2 linked regions of the Neodiprion lecontei genome follow. The protein of the gene in region 1 binds, or shares a complex with, the protein of each later gene. Links are inferred from orthologs where the notes say so. Each region holds a gene or a part of one and is shown in the gene's direction. Other genes may lie near its edges.

Region 1 (3,757 bases):
GCGCACCTCATGCCCTTTTGCATTATTCAAAGGAATGCACACGGCTAGCTGCTTTAGCAATACTCAATCACGTATGTAAGGAAACGAGAAATTTATGCATACGCCAGCTGTGGAGTTCTACTAAGTGAAGCGTTCACGACGGGAGTTGGAAAAACTAACGTGCTGCATTACCGAGAAAAGCTTGAGAGTGTTGCGAATCTCGTAGCGCTCTCTGACAAGCCAGGCTTCTGGAACTAATTTTCGAGGTGCATGGTAAAGGCATGTTGGTAACGTTTAATACTCTGCCGTATTTGGCATTACGAAAGCAGTGAATGATACAAAACACTTTTACGGCGATCAGCAGCAGCAGTAAAAATTGAACAAATTACGAACATCAACTTGCCTCCGTGATGCTAAAGACGGCAGTGTTGGTCTGTTAACAACATGCGCTTACCGACAATGCACCTCGAAAATTAGTTCCAGAAATCTATTTCGTGTCAGAGTGCGCTACGAAATCGGGAACACGAAAAACGCTAGCGTGGGCTCTCTCAGGCTTCTCTCTGTGCGTTGCCTGCAACGTTGATGGAGAGAGGTTACCAGTCTTCACACCACGGTCTTATAGACAAGTCTGGGCCACTGGTCTGGGCACTCCAAGCCTCTTCCTATACATATAACGCAGCGTGACCGTCTTGTAGCCTGTGTTTCTCAATTTGTGCACCAAAGACCGGAGCGCTGCAATCTCCGAAACCGGTGTATGCGTACTAAAGGAGGGAGGGAGAGGCCTACTTAGGCCGTGTTCGAAAATTGACTGACAGTACTGTCAGCAATCTTTCATCTCTTTTGCGCTTTCAAGTTCGTGAATAGCTCTGACTCTGTCCTAGGGAATTTTCAGTACTGTCAGTCAATTTACGAACACGGCCTAAGTAGGCCTCTCCCTCACTAGCGCTAGCGGCGAAATTTCACAACATCGGCTTCATTTTCGAGCACGGTTTTACAGCCGGAGTTCCCAGACCTGTCTATAAGACCGTGTTTACACCACTGATATACATTTCACACTCATGGACATGGAGCCTAGAGTTAAGGAGGTCGAACGGCACACGAGAATCATGATAAATTTGGACGCTGAAATCGTCGAAAAAGATATATGTTGGTTGTAGTTCGAAATTCAGCCACGAGCGCGCTTGTTTTGTCAGTATAGGCTAATGACCTTGAGTATAGGATATGAAGTATGGCATTGGTGATGCTATGAGGTGTGGAGTATTCGTTATCGACGCCCGGTCATTGCTGTAATAATAATACTTATATCCTATACTGACGACAGCAGCGCCACCACAGCCTATATATCTTTTGCGTCGCTTTCAGGGTCCACATCCATAGTACAGCGTTCGGGCTCCTTAACTCCAGGCGAATTGGGATCACAGCGAGGAGGGAGAGCATGAGGGAGAGTTTCGTGTTGGACGATCTTTAGTCAGAGATGAATAGCCAACCATGGCGTACGTCAATGTCGCAGAATGGAAGACAGATCAGGTGTGTGAGTGGTTGAAAGGTACGTGGAAGGCTTGATTATTACTTCGTAATATTTGTTATGCCACATTGTAAGTGCTTAGAATCGTACGTATTAATTCAGTGACGGTTTTTCGTATTATACGACGCGAAAACTCCATTTCCTGTATACGCCCCCCGGCCCTCGTAGTTTATTACGTCCATACATGTATGTTATACAAATACAAACTTCGTTTGTGAAGGCTAATTTCGTTCATTCAGTATGACTAATTGCGTAATCCATTGATAAATTCGATATGTGCGTGACTGAATGAACGTCTTTCGTTTGTTTTTGTTGTTCTAAAAATAATTCTCTCCTTTGTTACTTGAAACTTCAATGATGCATTCATTCCAGATCTGATAATTATTATGCATTCTTAGTCAGGGTGCATCGTTCAGGGTGATTGTATAAAATATCTTTCTGTAAAGTTCTCATACATTTTTACCCATAAATCAGATTCACTTTTGCCAAAGTCCTTTATATTTTTTTGACAATAATTTTTAACATTCATCATTTGCTAATACGTTCTTGCAATTCTCTCGACAGGCTTAGACAATTCGGTGTTACCGTACGTTCACAGTTTTATGAACCATGTTGTGAATGGTCAACAACTACTGAATCTCAGACCGGAAGACTTAGAACACCTTGGGGTACTGAAGCTTGGCCATCAAGAAATAATTCTCGAAGCTGTTGAGTATTTGAGAAACTTTCACTATGAACTTGACCATGAAAATTTGCAGCTTCTGGCATTACGACTGTCTTGTCAGGCCCACAGTCTGCATAATGAATTATCTCGACAAACCGATTCTAAACCCGTCACCACTCAAACTTTATCCGACGTAGCATCGGTTGTAACATCTCTGAAGCCTTTGGTCTGTTGGCTTGATCGATCTCCGTTTAGCGGCCAACTAGAATACAATGATAAAAAGGCCGAGTTGTTGAAGCTTTCCATAGAAATGGCGACCTGCGCTCAACGTGACAGATTCGCTGAAAGACCGATTGAAGAGATAAGAACTACTTGTGGACAACTAGCTAAATTGGCTGATTACATTATACAAGACATGGCCGATCCGATGATATTACAGCCAGCGAGTCTGGATTTAGCAACGTTAAAGAAAAGGCCAGGTGATGATTTGGTAAGTAATGAAAAGTAATCGTTTTTCTATAGCATTTTTTCTGATATCTTTCTTTTGACAATGAAATCAGCTTCATAATTAACTTATTCAATTTCTCATATACATCGTATGATACTATGCAATATATATTTAAAAGTTGTGCAATATTTATATAAAACAGTAATAATAAGATTTAATTTGATCGAGATAAAGTTATTGTTAATTGAGTAAAAGATTCTTATGAGACTTTTCAATATTATCAATAAACATCAATGAATGCTTAGCAACCACATCCGTTTGAGATAAAGCATGAATGTCGGTAAGATTGTCATTTCCTCTGCAGATAATACTTCTTGTGTACAATCTGAATTTAATACGACCATGGAGTTCTGTATTCTACTTACAATTCAATTATGGAACCTATTTCAGCAGTATGAAATACTATTTAAATGCAATTACAAGGATTTATACAGAATTCTTTTGTCCGATTAAATTATCTCATATAAAATCAATCTTTTAATAGTGTACGTAGTGATGACTAATTTTCATGTCTACGCTAATACAGGGTGTCTCATTTTTTTAAATACGCACCAATATATCGAAATTTAATCATTAAATTGAAAGATGTTTCGGTCAAAAGTGAAAAAAAAGTTTTTAAAAATCTGACCAAACAACCTCCCTAGGGTATACATCAAGTGACGCTAATTCCCACAGTTCTTAAATGCTTGGCAATGCTTAAAAACAAACATAAACAAGCGCCTAACCACTTTTCAACATTGAACAATTCTATTCATTGTAGAATTTGTTCTCATTTTTAAATTCTTGACAGTGATTGATGTATTACCACTTTTCTCACGAGAAAACTTCTAATAAAGTTTTACGCTTATTTGAAGACGATAACTAAAAAATTACTAGGAGTAAAACTTACTTTTTAATGAGAAATACGAAAGTAAAATAAAAAATAGCAGGTTCCATTTGAAAAACGAAAGTTGGGCCCCAATGGGCCCAGCAAAGGCCCCAGATCCAAAAACTGGGATGCTCATCTGATGTCCCCCTTCATATACAACAATTTTTGTCCGACACATTGTTCAATTTAATGCTTAGTTTTTGATATATTTGA
Region 2 (3,757 bases), on another chromosome or scaffold:
TTGTTTGCAGAATGGTTTGATTCATACACTAAATTATTGATTAATAGTTAATAAATTAACCAAATGGGTTATATCATTAATTCCATGTTCAATGACGCTAAACAGAAATGCAATACTCATCGCATCACAAATGTGTAATGAATCAGATCCAATTTTACTCGGGTTTTATGAGGAAAAACCTGAGAGAACCTGGATTTTTGAGACTTTAAGGGCATGTGATAGCGCTTTTGTATCGACCGAATTAGTTGATCCTTATTTTTTGGTATCATTAGTAAACTAAGAAATGAAATTTGTTCATGGCAGAGCATTGCGTTTCCTTAATATTTGTCTTGTGGCCTTTTCAGAATATTAGAAAGTGTCTTGAAGAAGTTCTATACATCAGTTCATCATTAGTGACGAAAAATAACAGCCAGTAGACTCGCAGGGGGTGGACTACTTATACTCTCCTCCATACGGTATTCAAAAGGTTTGAACCAAAGCGATACCACAACTATGGGACAAAAGTATATAATATAAAATTTTATTTGGCTACATTTTTGGTCGCCGAGTCTATGGTCGCCACAAACACTGAATTACCAATTCGTACGTAAAGTTGACCGAGCAACTTGAGTTTTTTTCAATTTCGATTATCCAATCGTTTGATAGTCGATTGGTGTGGCGGTAGTGATAGTATAAAATGTTCTATAATATCTTTAGTCCTAATCACTATTATGTTGGCTACAGTTTGGTCCAAGCCCGACGAGTAATTTGTCCGTGGAATGGTAGTGTCCACCCCAGCCTCCTGACACACGCTGCTAAAAGTGGTTCGCAAAATGTCCCTCGATTCTGCCGCCAATTCCCACCACTAGTGGCGCTAGTAGTTGTCTGACAAGCTTGCGCGCGCTCAGCGAGGGCAGCGAGCGTGTCAGAAGTCTACTAGCGCCACGTAGAGGAACTAAAAAACGGGGACAAAACGCGTACAAGTTTTCAGTATACGAGCAGTGGTGAGTGTTAGGAGGCTGGTGCACCCCATAGACTTCGATCACTGATCTCTATAGTGCCCCTGATTGACTCGCTCGATAAAAAAGGCCTACTACAACGTATGAAGGTAGGAAGTGATGAGTTTGCGAACGCACGTACTGGACTTTGATCGTCGACAAGGGGTTCAGGGCGGGGAGGGTTCCATACGTACGACTGCCGGGCGTCTCTGACGTCATTGATAGGCTGCCAAGATGGCTGTCAATGTTGATAAGTGGTTTGGTTACTTACGATACCTGTGATATTGAATTCGATAGGGGCCTCGCGTCGGGGATACTATGTTGGTGAAATAACAAGTTGTTTAGTGACCGAGACAAGAAGCTGTCACCGTTTCTCATGGCGGACAGCGAGGAGGCTGAACAGGACATTCGGCGAGCCCTAGATGTCGATCAATCCATGATTGACATCTGGGCCGATCGGCTTGAAGGCTTACGGACTCAGTGCTCTACCAGCGCGGAGTTAACACAACAAGAAATACGCACGCTGGAGGTACACGATGCATTTTTTCTTATGAAATTGGCCGCCTTTTGCTTCGCTAATTTCCCGATATCACTCGCCTATTCATGTTCCTTCTTGCTCCAAATCCGCTTGACCTGTTACAGGAAATAGAAAATATATCAATCATTCCTTTCTCCTGCTACTCTAAGCCTCGAATATTCCTATTTTCCAATTAAAAAATCCGTCCAATTATTTAAAATTGATCAATCGTATCGCACTGATTCTAATATAGGCCGGTATAATAATTCTCGAGAACATGATGCGCCAAGGCTTATCATTTAATTCTTGGAAACGAGCTGTCGATAAATACAGTTGTAATTCAATGTTTGATACCATGTTTTCAGTTAAACAAAATTCTCACAACATTCAGTGATTCTAAAAACATCACCGCTTGTCGTGTTAAGAATTTCTTTTTATTTCTTAATGTGTACCTTATCCACAGGGTAGGATTCTGTGCCAAGTAGCAGAGAATTCATTCATATGAAAAGTATCTTTCAAAGACTTGTCAGTCTTCAATTTTCCTTCTACAAGAAATTGATAACACTGCTATTATTGCATAGTTACTCGTTTCTTTCTTTTAAAACACAGTATCGGTTAAAATGTATTCTTTGTGATTTGTATTCCCTTGACCCAGTTAGTTTAATAATCAAGTGGCGCACTGCAAAAGTTTCAGTGTCACTTCATAGGAAGTCAGTCTTAAAATTTTACAATCAGCATCAAATTATTGTAGCATGGTAATATTCATAAAAATTGTGTTATGTTTGTTTTGTTTTTTTTAGTCCTTAAGTTGATTTCAGATGGTTGATCTAAGAGCAGAATGTTTGTTATTGAAACATTGTTGCTTAGAAAGTTTTCTGTGTTAATCACAAGCCGGAACCAATTTTCCTCGTTATACTTCAAAAATATCTAGAACAAGATTGATTATGCTAACATGACATATTCCTTACTTCATAAACTTTAATGACAAAGTCAGCGAAATGGGGTCAGCATCTAAACTCTAAAAAATTGATTTTTCAAACTCAGAAGATCTCCGTTCGTAGCACTTTTCTCGGAGCATTTTAATTTTCTTCTATTCTACCATTGTGTGATGACATAATTTTACAATTAATACTCAAGAAACCTGGAAATTACTACGATTTTTACTGTTCTAAGTGTAAAAATATATGGTATACTTTATAAAATTTCATGAATCTATCCAAGTTAACAATACATCTGTATAATAAAAATTGTTTGGTAACAACGCCTCCAATGAATTAACTGCTCTTATGTCTAAAATAAAACTGCTTATTCAGTATATTTCAAGTTCAGTGTTCAAGTTCAAATTTGCCACACTTCAAGTATAAAAAACATGATTTTGGATAAATGAGAGATTGAGGAATAATATCCACGTGTTTTTTTTTTTCAGTCTATTATCAGTCTATTTGTCAAATAACCGTTAAACATTTATGACAACTATGTTGTAGATTTAAAAAAATTTTAAATACACTTTGGGAATCTCAATTTTCATGCAAAATGCGTCTCATTGCCTAATAAAGCCAAGTTCTAAGTTCCCGAAAGAATTCCATACAATACTTCAAACTTCGACAATGATTCAACTATCATGGACAAATTTTTTTGGTTGTTACCATGGCATTGTTAGTACAGCCACATTAATATGTCAATTTCCTGCAGTTCTCTATGACCTGTACAAATTATACTGTGTTTTCACATGGGATTTCAACATGCTGTAGTTTTGTACCCAATCAATTTTCAATTTCCACACATTTGAACTTGGTCAAACTATTGAATTGTAGGTACGATTTATAAAAAAGTCTTACACCAATCTTATTCAATCAGTGAAGTGATGCCTCTTGTTTCTTACATTTCTGTCCATAATCTAGTCGACATTGATAAAAAAAATTCCAAGTAAATATCAAAAGCATGTCTTGTGGAAAGGAACAAGGAAATTCGTTTTTATTTATACTAAGGATTTACATATACAGAAGAAAAAGCTGATTTCTTTAATTTGAAGATGCATATTTTGCATATATGTCTACTGTTTTATTTATCTCTGCATTTTTAAATCCGTTTATTCTACCACCTTTCAACTTCTTCCTTAGGTTTTAGCTGTTGCGATGAATTTGGAACTCAACATTGAGTTTCATGATTGTGTTCGTTATAATTTTGTAAAATAATATACATGATACGAAACTCATTTTTAGATTATTAAAATATTTGTATATCAAACTTTTAAGCCAGCTAT

What was found. Proteins that work in one complex are often made in the same cells at the same time.
Region 2: the proteins of uncharacterized protein LOC107223905 (region 1) and kinase suppressor of Ras 2 are in contact, whole or in part, in a cryo-EM structure (PDB 8BW9), measured with the Drosophila melanogaster proteins. The link is inferred for Neodiprion lecontei from reciprocal best matches to the Drosophila melanogaster genes cnk and ksr. Residues at the interface, in NP_001286524.1 of Drosophila melanogaster: Lys79, Asn80, Asn82, Gln84, Leu88, Glu183, Asn187, Ile190, Gln191, Ile193, Ser194, Asp195, Pro196, Val198, Leu199, Gln200, Pro201, His288, Thr289, Met291; in NP_001287177.1 of Drosophila melanogaster: Arg900, Gly901, Met902, Lys903, Gln904, Ser905, Leu906, Ala907, Gln910, Ser911, Gly912, Arg913, Lys916, Asp917, Met920, Tyr925, Lys945.

What each region holds. Positions count from the first base shown.
Region 1 is NC_060260.1:24,525,245-24,529,001, reverse strand, and holds the start of uncharacterized protein LOC107223905, read left to right. Parts: upstream 1-1,361; 5' UTR 1,362-1,467; coding exon 1,468-1,525; intron 1,526-2,068; coding exon 2,069-2,658; intron 2,659-3,757.
Region 2 is NC_060266.1:5,384,973-5,388,729, reverse strand, and holds the start of kinase suppressor of Ras 2, read left to right. Parts: upstream 1-1,187; 5' UTR 1,188-1,353; coding exon 1,354-1,506; intron 1,507-3,757.